Linked DNA regions of Elephas maximus indicus. Each later gene encodes a partner of the first gene's protein in a complex. Links are inferred from orthologs where the notes say so. Each region holds a gene or a part of one and is shown on either strand. Other genes may lie near its edges.

What was found.
Region 2: STRIP2 (region 1) and STK25 share a complex: the UniProt entries of both Homo sapiens proteins name them as parts of the core of STRIPAK complex. The link is inferred for Elephas maximus indicus from reciprocal best matches to the Homo sapiens genes STRIP2 and STK25.

What each region holds. Positions count from the first base shown.
Region 1 is NC_064826.1:20,705,633-20,712,994, reverse strand, and holds the start of STRIP2 (striatin-interacting protein 2), read left to right. Parts: upstream 1-2,788; 5' UTR 2,789-2,827; coding exon 2,828-2,953; intron 2,954-7,362. UniProt on the Homo sapiens protein: Plays a role in the regulation of cell morphology and cytoskeletal organization. Required in the control of cell shape. Calmodulin-binding scaffolding protein which is the center of the striatin-interacting phosphatase and kinase (STRIPAK) complexes.
Region 2 is NC_064824.1:143,369,953-143,377,314, reverse strand, and holds the start of STK25 (serine/threonine-protein kinase 25), read left to right. Parts: upstream 1-3,698; 5' UTR 3,699-3,809; exon of another isoform or gene 3,810-3,870; intron 3,871-3,997; 5' UTR 3,998-4,086; coding exon 4,087-4,116; intron 4,117-7,217; coding exon 7,218-7,362. UniProt on the Homo sapiens protein: Oxidant stress-activated serine/threonine kinase that may play a role in the response to environmental stress.

The DNA.
Region 1 (7,362 bases):
CTGAATTTGGGGAACAAAGAAAATTGGCAGTGCAGGTCCATCTGCCTTAAAATTAACAGCACTGGAGCCATCCCTAAGATGGCAAGACTTGTAGACCAGGGCCTGACTAATTAGCTCTTAGATATATATTTATGGCTGCCTCTGTGGTCAATAGTATTGATGGCTGTCATTCTTGACAAATAAGCTAAAAGAAAGGGAGTACGTGCCAATTCCATGGCCTATAGTTTCAAAGTTTTCAATTCATCTCTGGTTTCTTGTTATTTCTTACAGGCCTTATTTCCAGATGCCTTCTATCTTATGACAAGCTCTGAAAGTCTGGGTCTGTAATGAATGAGCAGACTGTCTGATCTTTACTGTCTCCCATTCCTCTAGGGGGTGGAAAAGATAATGGAGTGAGGTCTCTCCTCCATTGATTCTTTGCAGTCTCCATAGCACCACTTTTTCAAATCTCTTCAAAAGTGAAGCCAGATGGAGCTCTAGGCTCAGCAATTGGCTAGAGATGAAGGCCAGAGGGGACTTGAGAGGGTCCTCAACTCTCCTCCCAGGTGAAAATTACTCTCCCCAAGGATAGGCAGGAGAAAGAAAAAAGCCTCAAAACTGGCCCCTCCTATCTGCTGTCTCTCCTGGGGGTCCTGCTGGTTGACTAGGTTCACATAGAGAATGTGAAGTTTTCAGCCCATCAGTCCTAGCTCTGGCTGCTAGGAAGAGAGGTATTAGGAAAAGGGAAGGTAGAATAATTAATTCTCTTTATTAAGAAGCCCCCATGGGCTGTGCTGTGGCAGGTTTTACCACGCTAAAGCAGTGATGAGCTAGGCGTGGGCTGTGAATTTTAAAGCAGAGCATGCATCTCTTAAGAGTTGTGCAGATTATGCCCCCATCCCCCAGAAATTCCAAAATCAAGTAGCTTAGGCCTTGAGCCAGGGCCTTTTTTTGAAATTCAAACCAGTTTGATTCTACTAAACTAGTGGGTCTCTGTTGGGAAGAGTTTGGCCCCAGGGGACATTTGGCAATGTCTGAAGACTTTTTTGTTGTCACAGAGAGAGCAGGTGCTGCTGGCATCTAGTGAGCAGAAGCCAGGGATGTTGCTAAACATTCTACAATGCACAGAACAGCTCCCCACAGCAAAGAATTATCCAGCCCAAAATGTCAACAGTACAGAAATTAAGAAGCCATATGTTTAACATGGAGAAATGAAACATACAAAAATGAGCAAGACTTGGCCCTACTCTCAAGGAGTTTATATATCCAGGTTTGCGGGGGTGGGATGATAGAGGAGTGGGGGGTGGGAAAAGAAAAAGGAAACGGGTGGGTACAATAAGGAGATGCTGGGGAGCAGGGAAAGAAAAGAACCCAGATAGCTGTAAGAAGTGCCCCTTCTCAACTCTGCCTTGATCTGTCCCCTACAGACTAGCAGAGGGAAGCATGAGGGAGAGATATGGTTAGGAATGGGTTAGAGTTGTCCCCAAGACATGAGAAGGAAGAGTAATTCTTTTGGTGCCCTTGCTTTGGAGAAAATGTAAGGATTTTCAATCCAGGCAGGATGCCAGCCCAGCCTGAGTGGGTTGAGGAGGGTCAAAGGAAGATTTCCCAGAGGAGGAAGTGATGCCTCCGTAGAACCTTTAAGGAAGGAGTCAACCAAGAGTACAGAAAGTTTCCCTCAGACAGGACAGCATACTCAAAGACACTGAGACAAGAAAGAGTAAGATACCTTGGGAACTGCAAGGAGTAATTGTTCTCAGTGAGTCCTGGTTTCCTCATAAGTAACATTAGGTTAGTGAAAACAACCTATGAGAGAGAGGTATGATATGATACCTAGAAAGTGCCTAGTGCAGGGTCTGGCACAGAGGGCGGTTCAGCTCAGCAGTCCCCCCCACAACCTCTTCCTGGCTGTGGATGGTGATTTGGTGTCACCCATTCTCCTCTGGGGGGTTGTTTGGGGACTCCTATGACCAATCTAGACTGCCCTAGATGTTCACTGTAAGTTGCTTTTTAGGTAAATTCGAAAGAGGGCAGTCCACACAGCCTCAACTGCCCCCACCCCCCACCACGCCCTCCCGGTAACCCCGAGCCTTACGAAGGAGAGGAAAAGGAAGGAAAAGGCTGGGAAGCCAGTGGGGTTAGTGGTTTGATCTCCATTCAGCATTTACTCCCTAACTCACACCATGAGGAAGGCGCCCCAGAACAGCAAGGAAAAGCAGAGAGATGACCAGGAGCAGCCCTCAATTTCCAGAGCGTTCAGCAATCTCTGTAAACTAAAAACGTGACCCCACCCCGCAGCTCCCTAGTCTCCCAGCCAAGCCGTCGCTTCAGGGGAGGGGAGTGATGCGTTCCCTTCAAAAATTTCAGCTTGCAGGGAGGATGAAGGCCGAGATCCTCCTGTTCTGCAGGATCCCCGGCCACCTGGCGGTGCCATGTCTCCCTGCGACAGAAGCGGGATTTGGGACGCTTGCAGGAGCCAGGGTTTGAGGGGCAGGGGTCTGCGATAATGGAAAAGCAGACTGCAGTGCGGCAGGAGACGGAAACTAGGGCTCCCCTAACAGGAAACGAGAAACAGAGATACCCTGCGTGAGCTCAAGGCCCAGAATTCAGGAGGTGGAGCGGGGAGCCAGCCCCCCAGGCTCCGGCTCCCAGCGACGCCGCAGTATCCCTTGAATGAGCCCCACTTCGTCCCAGTCCCTCTCGGAGCCGCCGGACAGCCAATCGAGTCTCGGGGCGGGGCTGCGGCGAGCGGCCTCAGCCAATCGCTGCGGAGGGGCGGGGTCGGGCTCGCAGCGCGCGGCGGCAGGGGCGCCCTAGGCAGAGCGCGCAGGGCGCCGAGCAGGGCGGAATGGAGGAGCCGGCTGTCGCTAGGGCCGGGAGCCCTCCCGCCAACGGCAACAGCAACGGCGGCAAGGCGAAGCAGGCAGCGCCCAAGAGCCAAGAGGCGTTCCGGAGCCAGCGGCGCGAGTCGGAGGTGAGGGGCCGGGGAGACACCGCGGGCGGGACGCGGCGGCTGAGGTGATTTTGCCCGACCCCTCCCCCGCCCCGGGGTCCCAGGCGTCCCGAGAGCCTCGGCCCCTCGCCCCGGTGCTCCGAGACCCTGGGCCCCGGGCCCCGACGCCCCCGGCCCCCAAGACCCCGGGCCCCTCGCCCCGGTGCTCCGAGACCCCGGGCCCCTCGCCCCGGTGCTCCGAGACCCCGGGCCCCTCGCCCCGGCCCCGAGACCCCGGGCCCCTCGCCCCGGTGCTCCGAGACCCCGGGCCCCTCGCCCCGGCCCCGAGACCCCGGCTCCCTGAGGCCCCAGCACCCCGCCCCGGGGCCCCTCGAGGGGCGCCAGCGGGGTTCTAGAGTTCGGGCTCTGCGGCCGGTGACCCCCTCCATATGCCTCCTGCAGCGGGTCGGGGGCTTTCTAGTCTCTGGCCTTCCTCCGGGGCGCGAAGATGTAGCGCGTGGAGAGTACCAGACACTCGTCGATGTTCTCTCAGTCAATCGCTGCAGCCCCTTGAGGGAGGAGCTCCTATTCCCATTTTACTGAGGACAAACCGAGGGAGCTGGTGAAGTGACTGGCCCCACGGCGGGGAGGCTAGAGCTCAGCCTCAGAATAGAGGGGTCGGAGTTGGGGGGCAGTCGCCCCCCTCCTCCAAGGCTCCACAGGGTCCCAGAGCTGGCCTTCCTCTCTGCCTTGTTAGGCTCTTTAGGAGGTGCTGTCCACAAACGTGAGGATCCCCACCTGTAAGGGTTAATCAAGACAGGATTAGGCCAGGCTGTACATGAGTATTTGGATGGAACAGTCCCAGGACTCAAACCCACAGTTAGGAGACTGGGTACTACCTCTTCTCCTGAAAAGAAATCCTAACTAGGAAGATGAAAGAAGTGAATAATTGTCATCCCACCCCCCTTCACCCTGCAAACAGGCCAGTTTTCATCAAATAGGCAAGAGTAGAACTGAATCTGAGCATGGATCAAGCTAATAGAACCACAAAATGTCAGATATAAAAGGGTCTGTAGAGTCATCTGGTGTAGCCCTTTCATTTTACAGATGGAAGAGACAGAAGTGACTTGCCTGAGATCATACATCTGGTGTAATGGCCAGGAGCACCAGCTTCCTGGTCAGTTAGACCAGGGTTTGAATCCTAGCCCTACCCTTTACTATCTGTGTGACTTTTAGCAAATTACCGAGCCACTCTAAGTTCCAGTTTCTTCATCTGTATAATGGAGTTAACACTGTCTACCTCAGAAGGTTGCGATAAAGTTAAAATGAGATAATTGGATGGAAAAAGTTTAAAATCATGCTGGCACGATGTAATTGGTCAGTACGTAGTAGCTCTTAGTACTGTATTACTATCATTGTCATCATCATCACTGCCACCACCACCACGTGGCAGAGGTGGTACTAGAAGCCAGGTCTTTGTCATTTACAGCTAATTATTTGAATAGCACTTTAAAGTTAACAAAATGGTTTTCTGTATGCTTCTGTTTTCCATAATAAGCATAGTAGGAACCCACTCTGTTTTTTTTTTTTTAATAGAAGTGGAGGAAGTGAAAAGACTGGCCCAAAGTCACATCACCTTGCAGAGACAGAGCTTGGTTGTACAGGAGCCCTTTTGCCTTGCTAGGTCAGTGTATTGTCTACCACATTGTCCACCCCCTGCCTCAGAACCAACCTGGCTTTTTTAGGGCACCCTGTGCCTCCTTTCACAGAGACATTTTTCTTGCTGGGAAAAAAAATTTTTTTTTGAGGGGTTAGTTAACTCATTAATGCAACAATTATTGAGTTCTTTTGGCCCTGGTGGCTTAGTGGTTAAGAGCTCGGCTGCCATCCAAAAGGTTAGCAGTTCAAATCCACCAGCCGCTCCTTGAAAACCCTATGGGGCAAGTCTCCTCTGTCCTATAGGGCTGCTAGGAGTCGGCAATGGGTTTGGTTTTGGTTTGGTCTCTATATGCTGGGTATTGTGTTAAGTGCTAGGGATACACCAGTGAACAAGACAAGGTCTTTTGCCCTTGTGGAACAAACAGTAGTGGGGGGAGGCAGATAATATTCAAGGAAAAAAATCAAAATAATTTCAGAGCGATAGGTGCCAGATCGCCCTTCTGAGGTAGGAGCCTCTTCCGTGCATCTCAAGCCTTCCTTCAGCACCAGGCACTGATGGCACTGCATGAGCATACCAGATACTTTACAAATATCATCTCTATTAACTGCTGCAGCCCCTTCAGACAAGAATTCATGTCCCCACTTTGCATGAGCTCCGCACCCAGGGACTCCGAGCCTTCCACCTGCGCCGCAGTTACCTCCTGACTGCCCGCAGCTGCACTTCCCATGCATGCCTGGAAACCAGCAACTGCAGTGATCACCGCTATCTGTGGTCATTGCCTGCCAAAAGGCTGGCTGGGAAGATTAGCTTCCCTCCACTTTCGCTGCAGCAGGAGACCTGCTTCTACCTGTCAGTACCTCCCCTGTCACCACAGCACCCAGGTGCCAGGCTCAGATGACTATCTGTGTTCCCTTCCCTCCTTCTTTTTGCTTTCCTATAGTTTTTTTTTTTATAGAAGATAGTCCTCAGGGAAGATGGTTTTCTTTCCTCCCTTGGGCTTCTCAGTAATTACTAGAAGAGAGTTTCTGATGGCATAAGCCTTGTTCCTTGTACACCGCCGGTTTTACAGGGACACTTTTGGCCTCCTCTCTCCCAGTGGCTTACTGTATGAAAATCTCAGCCTAGAAAGGAAGCTAGACAATAATTGTTTCCTTAGTGAAAAGATTCTTAACCTAACAAAAGGATTCACCGCAGGCCTGTTTGCAACCAGATCCTCTGGTCTACTGGTTCCCAAGGTCCTTGACAAAGTTTGCACTGGTCTATGGCAAAATCAGGAAAATTCGTGGCATGGAAGTGAGTTTTTCAAAAAACGTAGTTCACTGTATTAAATTTAAAGGATGTATACAATTTAAAACAATGTTTTTCAAACTGTGGGAAGCAAGCTGTGAGTTGGGACCAGGATTTTTTTTTTTTTAAGAAATCAAATAAAATAGAACATATCAGAGTAAATCACACATAGAAAGAATAAATATTAAACTTTTGCTCCCGTTTTATATGTGTGTGTGTGTTCAGACTTGATGTAAAATGTATTTATACTTTAAGGTCAAAAAAAAGTTTGAAAAACGCTGCTTTTAATGGTTGTCCTGTATTCTAGGCCTATGTCCTTCCAATTTGGGGGACATTAAAGTATTCTTTCTTTTTGAAATATGTTTTCTGAAAAAATATTTTTAAGTCCCGATGTATCAAAATAAAACATAAATGGCCCTATATCATTCCCTAGTCCCCCAATTTTTTTTTTTTTTTAGTTTTAATTTCTACTGGTTTCTGCAATCCAGAAGTATAGAAGTCTTTGCCGTAGTAGATGTAAACACAATTTGCTTTGTTCACTATGTACAACGGTTTTGGAAAACAACTTTCTGTGAACAAAGAGCCATAAAAATATGCATCAGGTTTGATGTATTAATTCTAAGAACCTATCCTTGGGAAAGATTCTAAATACAGAAAAATTTATAAGTGTATTAAAGCTTTGTGCATGTAGTAAAGGAAAATTAAAAACAACCTAAATGTTCAACAGTAGGGAACTGGTTAAGTACCAATAGGTATCTATCCACTTAACTAACTGTTTAAAGTAATAGTCACATACACAAAAATAAAGTGATAGTCACAATAACATGAGAAAATATCTTTATAAAATGATATTAAAATTGTAAGCAGAATAAGAATAGTTAACTGCTTATATAGTGCTACTAAGTTGTAGGTGATGTTCTAAGTGTTTTTCCTGTATTAACTCATTTAGTCCTTACAATAACCCTATGAAGTAAGTCCTATTATTATCTCCATTTTATAGATGAGAAAACAGGCACAGAGAAGTTAAGTAATTTTCCCAAGATCACACAGCTAGTGTATGACAGAGTTGAGACTCCAAAATTTAAAAAATTATATGTAATATATACTAGCAGGAAATACCCTAAAATGCTTAAAAAATGTAGGGGGTGAAATTATATTAAAAATATTTTTTAAATGGAATTATAAATGTACATAGACAACATCGTAGGAAATCTAGCCTTTAATACAACTTGGAGTAGAAATGCTACTCTGTTTGAGAGTCCTAAAGTCATGGAACATTAGAGCTGAACTATATTATTATAATGAGAAACTATGGTCCACAGAAAGAGACTTACCCAGGTCCCACAGTGGCTTAATGACAGCTGAGGCTAGAATCCAGTCCTCTCTTTTGTTTTTGCTGGTCTCATTTTTCTAGAGGTCAGCTAAGGGCTCTTCTTGTCTGTTTACATAAACCAGATATGGATGCAGGTTGTAGGTAGCTTTCATATCTGTTCACACTCCTGCC
Region 2 (7,362 bases), on another chromosome or scaffold:
GACCCGGCTTCTTTGCATGCCTGGACATTTGCCTTGCTAGGTGTTGGATATTTTTGTATTCTTATTTTTTTTTCTTTATAAACATTCCTGAGCTTTGCTGTGGGTGCAGTTGAGGTACTTGGAAGCAGTGAGATTCTTTCAGGTCCTGCTCTAGGATTTGTGAGGCAGGACCACAGCAGTGTTTAGTTGAGGGCTAATTACTCCTAACAGGATTCTAGGTAAAATAAAGACCATCCAGTCAAATTTAAATTTCAGATAATAACAATTTGTAATGTTTTAGTACAGGTATATCCCTTTTAACACCTGGGACGTAGTTATACTAAAGTGTTCTTTGTTGTTTGTCTGGCATTCAAATAACTCGGCATCCTGTTATCATTTGCTAACCCTGGCAATGCTAATGCCACTGAGGCAAGATTTCCCTGAGTATTCTACCCACTGCCCTGTGAATTATGAGGTTGTCCAGTCTGTCTGTAAAAATGGTGTAGTGCAGGCATCTAACCACCTCTAAATTTCACAAGGGGGAAGGAGAATCAAGATCAACAAACCAAGGCTGATTGCTTTGAGGTAGAAGTCAGACGCACCTCCTCTTGCCAGGCTTTTTACTAATTCTGACACGAACTGTCCTCCCTACTTGGTACTCCCTACTTCCCTGCTGGGTTCAGTTGTAGCAATGGCCATATAGAACTCACAGACCATACTCACAGTTATGGGGTTTATTAGGGAAGTAACGCATTACAATTCAGGTTCACTCAGGATACAGTTCTTCCATCAGGACAGCCTCTCCTCTGCCAGGCTGCAGGCACACCTCTCTCTGGCCCCTCGGCCTCTGGGGCAACTGTTATAAAGCTTTTTTAGCTCTGCCATAAGTGCCTAGAGGTACCCTGCCCCACTGGTAAGCCCTGTGCCCGAAGGTGCTCAGTTTTCTCGCTCTGTGGGCCAGTAAGCTCCCCATGCTTCCTCCTGGTTCTGCTGCCGCCGTTTCTCTGCTGCCGCTTCTCACCGTCTCTCACCATCTCCAGTGTTAGCGCTGTCCCTCTCTGTCCTGGTTCTGCTGCCTCTGTCTTCAGTGCTATAGCTTCTCTCTCTCTCTCTCTCCCCTGTCTCCTCTTTAAGCCTAGGGGATGGCAAAACTGACCAATCCCCTCATTAGGACTCCAGACACCATATTTGCATGGTCCCTCCCCCCCCCAAGGGTGCAGTACACCTTATTTACATTACTAGCAAGCTATCCAATCCCCTTGGTGGGCCACAAGCACCTCATTTGCATAGTCCTCACCCAGTCATTTGGTGCGAGTTACAAAGACTATGGCTAAAACCCCAGTAACATTGAGTCAATTCTGACTCACAGCAACCCTATAGGACAAAGTAGAACTGCCCCAAAGGGTTTCCAAGGTGCACCTAGTGGATTCGAACTGCCGACCTTTTGGTTAGCAGCCATACCTCTTAACCCCTACGCCACCAGGGTTTCTAGACTATAGCTAGAAGGGCCACATTAAGTAATTCACTGCACCACAGGCTGGTGGGGACAGACACTACTCCTTTGACTTGAGCATGGGGCACCTCTAATACCTTCAAACGGTTCTTTTCCAGTTTGGGGTTGTTTCCTCACAGTCGGGCGCAGATCACTACTGCTGGATACTCAAGGGGCTTCCTGCACATCTGTAGAGTTCTCTCCTGTCTCTCTGTCCTGCTAAGTCTAACCACCACCACCTCCTGGACTCTCAACTCTGATCCTCAACCCCAGGCTCCCCTTGGGTTCCCCCTCTTTCAACTGCAGTTTGGTAACTCTCTGCAAGCAGTAAACACACCTCTTGTTTTGTCACGAGGAGCCACTGAGCTTTGTTATCTAGTGTCATTGTCTTGAAAAGCATTGTTTCATGTATCTTGCCATTTATCAATTACCTATCTATCACCAATCTATCAATCAATCAATCACCTATCTATATCCATATATCTTTCGGTTGTTTCCAGCAGGAGGGAAATCTGACCTCTGTTATTCCACTTGGCCAGACACAGAGATCGGTTTTACCTTTTTTAAAGGAAAAGTCAGACGGTTGTTTGCTATCAGCTTTATCGAGATCTAATTCATACATCATAAAATTCACCGTTTTAAAGTGTCCAGGTGCAGACAAGTGGGGTCCTGTTGGGAAGGGGAGACAGTCCTGGTACAGGAGGGGGGTCCAGGGTGCGGGAGGGGTCCAGGGTGCAGGAGGGGGGGTCCAGGGTGCGGACGCGGGGTCCAGGATGCAGGAGGGGGGTCCAGGGTGCGGGGGGGGGTCCAGGGTGCGGGAGGGGGGTCCAGGGTGCGGGAAGGGGGTCCAGGGTGCGGGAGGGGGGTCCAGGGTGCGGACGTGGGGTCCAGGGTGCGGGAGGGGTGTCCAGGGTGCGGAGGGGGGGTCCAGGGTGCGGGAGGGGGGGTCCAGGGTGCGGGAGGGGGGGTCCAGGGTGCGGGAGGGGGGGTCCAGGGTGCGGGAGGGGGGGTCCAGGGTGCGGGAGGGGGGGTCCAGGGTGCGGGAGGGGGGGTCCAGGGTGCGGGAGGGGGGGTCCAGGGTGCGGGAGGGGGGGTCCAGGGTGCGGGAGGGGGGGTCCAGGGTGCGGGAGGGGGGGTCCAGGGTGCGGACGCGGGGTCCAGGGTGCGGACGCGGGGTCCAGGGTGCGGACGCGGGGTCCAGGGTGCGGACGCGGGGTCCAGGGTGCGGACGCGGGGTCCAGGGTGCGGACGTGGGGTCCAGGGTGCGGGAGGAGTGTCCAGGGTGCGGGAGGGGTGTCCAGGGTGCGGACGCGGGGTCCAGGGTGCGGGAGGGGGGTCCAGGGTGCGGACGCGGGGTCCAGGGTGCGGACGCGGGGGGGTCCAGGGTGCGGACGCGGGGGGGTCCAGGGTGCGGACGCGGGGGGGTCCAGGGTGCGGACGCGGGGGGGTCCAGGGTGCGGACGCGGGGGGGTCCAGGGTGCGGACGCGGGGGGGTCCAGGGTGCGGACGCGGGGGGGTCCAGGGTGCGGACGCGGGGGGGTCCAGGGTGCGGACGCGGGGGGGTCCAGGGTGCGGACGCGGGGGGGTCCAGGGTGCGGACGCGGGGGGGTCCAGGGTGCGGACGCGGGGGGGTCCAGGGTGCGGGAGGGGGGTCCAGGGTGCGGGAGGGGGGGTCCAGGGTGCGGGAGGGGGGGTCCAGGGTGCGGGAGGGGGGGTCCAGGGTGCGGGAGGGGGGGGTCCAGGGTGCGGGAGGGGGGGTCCAGGGTGCGGACGCGGGGTCCAGGGTGCGGCCGGCCGGGCAGCGGAGGTGGGGAGCCTGGGCGGGAAGGGCGAGGCCGCCGCGGCCGCCCCCGGGATCCGGTCCAGCTCCGGCTGGGGAGCGGAACGGGCGCGGCCGGGCGCCTTACAAGGCCGGGGGGCGCGCTCCGGGCCAAACGCGACGCCCGACGCGCCGACGCACCGACGCGCCGACGCCCAGACGCGCTGATGCCCGTCGCAGGCCACGCCCCCGCCGTCACGACACCGCCCACCCGCCCCGCGACCTGCCGGGACTTGTAGTCCACTGCGGCTCACGGCGAAGGACTCCAAGCCCCAGCGAGCCGTGCGGCGGGCCTGCTCTCCCCGTCTGCCTTTCCACCCCGCGGCCTGCCGGGACTTGTAGTTTAGCTTGCACGGCGACGGGGCGCGGGCCGAGTGGCGGGACTCTGTTTCCCAGAGAGCCTCGGGCCGGGCCACGACGCCGCCGCCACTGCCGCTGTCTCCGCCGGGCTTTCTCCGGCGCCGCCACTGCCTCTGCTTCGCGGGCTCGGGGCGGCTTCCCGGAGATCAGGGGCTGCGGGTGGGGCCTCCGCGGGCACAACGGAGCGGGCCGGGGGAGGCCGGGATGGAGCCCCCCGGAGGTGGGCCGCTGCCGGGCGGGGCGGCGCCGGGGCGGTTGGGGGTCAGGGGCCCGGGGCTGGGGGCGGCCGGGAGGAAGGTCGCCGGGGGCGGAGGCCGGACAGCGCGAGCGGCTTGCTGTCCCCGCAGTGGACTGAAGCGGCGGCCGGCCCGGAGCTGAGGCGGATCCCGGCGCCTCGTTGGGCTGCGGACGGATGGTGTGACGGCCGCGGGCAGACATGGCTCACCTCAGGGGATTTGCCAACCAGGTATGGGGCGGCCGCCTGGGTGGTGCGTGCGCGCGTCTGTGCAGCCCAGAAGGGGAGTGCACGTGAGCAGGTGTGCGCCCCAGACGGGAGTGCGCGTGAGCAGGTGTGCGCCCCAGACGGGAGTGCGCGTGAGCAGGTGTGCGCCCCAGACGAGAGTGCATGCGTGTGTGCAGCCCAGACGAGAGTGTGTGCGAGTGTGTACGCACGTGTGCGCCCTAGACAGGAGTATGTGTGTGCGTGGATGTGTACCCAGATGAAAGTGTGTGAGCATGTGTGTACCCAGGCAAAAGTGCATGTGTGTGGGTGTGCGCCCCAGATGGGAGTGCGTGTGAGTGGGTGTGCACCCCAGACGAGAGTGCATGAGTGCATGTGCATGTGTGGGTGTGTGCCCCCAGGCAAGTGAGTTTGTGAGTGTGGGTGTGCACCCCAGACGAGCATGTGTGTGTGTGCACGCCTGTGTGTGCCCAGATGAGTGTGTGAGTGTGCATGTGGGGATGTGCATCCTAGATAAGTGTACATGTGAGTGTGTGTGTGTGTGCGGGTGTGTGCCCCCAGATGAGAGTCTGAGCACGTGTGCATGGGTGTACACCCCAGACAAGCATGTGTAGGTGTGTGCCTGCGTGTGCCTCCAGACAAGGTTGTGTGTGTGTGTGTTGAGTATGCACCCCAGACAAGCGTGCATGAGTGTGTGCACCCCCAGACCAGTGTATGAGTGTGCATGCATGGGTGTGCACCCCAGATGAGCGTGCATATGAGTGCATTTGCAGGTGTGTGCCCCAATACGAGTGAGTTTGAGCATGTGTGCATGGCTGTGCATCCCAGATGGACGTGTGTGTAAGTGTGTGCATGTGTGGATGTGCACCCCAGACATGCAGATATATGTGTGCATGCAGGGGTGTGCACCCCCGATGAGTACGAGTATGTACATGAGCGGGTGTGCACCCCAATGAATGCACATATGAGCGTGTGTGTGCACAGTGTGCACCCCCAGAGAGCACTGACTGCTGAGTCTGGGAGGGGTGAGGACCCAGGTACATTTTGCTTGTGTCCCTGAGGGCTTGCCAGAGGGACATGGGTCTGGGTGTGGAGGAGAGGTTCATGGTGAACCCTGTGGCAGGGTCTGTGGGTGGCTCAGACCTGGGGAGACTATTCCATGTACACGCCTTTGTGTGACATAAGCTCTGAGTGTCTTAAAATAGAGCCAGTGGCTCTCTGCGGTTTAGAGAGCAGTGTGGGAGGAGACGCTTTATCTGGGGACGGGGTGCGCCCTCAGGGCTGGGCGGGGCTGGGCACTGGGTGGGGATCCTTTGGGAAACTGGACCTCAGCATCAAGTGAAGTCAGAGGTCAGCATCCATAGGGAGCCTGGGCCTGACCTGCAGTCATCTGGCCATGTTGTGGTCATCTGGCCACGCTGTGGTCATTGGGGCACATTGTGGTCATCTGGCCATGTTGTGGTCATTGGGGCATGTTGTGGTCATCGGGGCACGTTGTGGTTATCTGGCCACATTGTGGTCATCGGGCCACATTGTGGTCATCGGGCCATGTTATGGCGTGGCGGGAGGCAGGGCTAGTACACAGCAGTTTGTGTAGGGAGAACCCTGATAGGTCCTGAGAGGAGCGGGGCTTGACCAGGTGGTCCTTGTGTAAGCATTGGTGCATAGGGAAGACAGGACACGCCTGCGTGCATGTGTGTTTGTGTGCGGATGTGTGTACACATGTGTTCCTTGAGGGAGAGTAGTGAAGAGAAGGCCGCTCTGCAGAGCCGCTAACCAGGCTCGGCGTTTTTCTCTTTTGATTGTTCTTCTCTCACCTCGAGCCACCTTGAGAGTCTAGCATTGCTGTCTGGGAAGTGGCCATCCAACGGCCCACCCCACTGAGTGCCCTGCGTCCAGCCGCTGGTGCTGAGGAGCGTGCGGGGACTGGAGGGCTTGGGCAAGGATGACAGTGGAACAGAGGGAGCCCGTGGTGGCTGTCGTGTTGACTTCATCCTCGCTGATTGGTCTTGTTCTTCTCGACTCGGGGCAAGTTTTTCCGGCTGTGCTTCTTAAAAGTGCAGCCCCCGATGTGTGCTGGGCCAGGGACCGGCGGGAGAAACTGGGAGAATGTCCACGTGGCACAGAAGCTGGAGTCCCAGCTCAGCTCCGGACTCTGTGGGACCTGCCTGAAACCCGCGATGCCAGGGTGGGGCACAGTTGCCGGGCAGGGGATCCTGGACCATTGTGGCCCAGCTGGGGTGTGTAGCTAACGCTGAGTCAAGCCAGCAGAGTCAGGATTTGTCTTTGACGCTCCACGTCTGACAAATGGCCTGATTAAAGATGCTAAGTGGGACAACCCAGCCTCCTCGGGGCATCTTCGTGCCGTGATAGAAGGAGGTGGACGATGTCCTCCGAGTGACAGAGGGTGCAAGCTCAGGGCACCAGCCAGATTTGCTGAGTCACCCCGGGGCTTCGCGGGGTGGGGGCTGCGTGGCGTGGGCAGACCTGTGGGTGGTTTGGTGGGATGCCCCTGAGGGCCCTGAGTGAGCATGATATTCTCACTTCCAGGTGCTGAGAAAGCCCCGATGCCAGTGGGGGGGACCAGTGGAGGGGCCGGCAGGGGTGTCCCAGGCCTGGCCCATGGCTCTGGGGCACTTTCTGAATGGGCGGTTGGTGTCCTTTTAAGTCTGAGGACCAGGGGCACTAGGACTTTCTGTGATGTTTGAACCTGCAAGACTGAAGTGCTTGGGCAGAGTATGGGCAAGCTGGGGCTGATTTTGGGGGACCCCTTGCTAAGGGGTAGAGGGACTGGGGCTCTCTTCGCACAAGAGGGTGGAGGCCACTGTGGGGGCAGAGCAGGGGACCCGTTCTCATGCACTGCCCCCCTCGGCGTCCCTGACCCCATGTGGCAAGTGGTGGGTGGTACCCAGCGCACTCTTGGGCGGAGGGTGGATGCAGGTTCTTTCACAGGAAGGAGTGTGTTGAGGCACCGGGGCTGTCTCGCGGTGGTGTGGGTCTGGCTGTGGAGCTGCTGTCCCAGCCAGGGCATCTGCCTGCGTGCTGGCCGGTCGTGGGTGTGGGATGCGATGGACGTCCTGAGCAGCCCTGCCCCATCTGCTGTGCAGCACTCCCGCGTGGACCCTGAGCAGCTCTTCACCAAGCTCGACCGCATCGGGAAGGGCTCCTTCGGGGAGGTGTACAAGGGCATCGACAACCGCTCCAAGGAGGTAGTGGCCATCAAGATCATCGACCTAGAGGAGGCTGAAGACG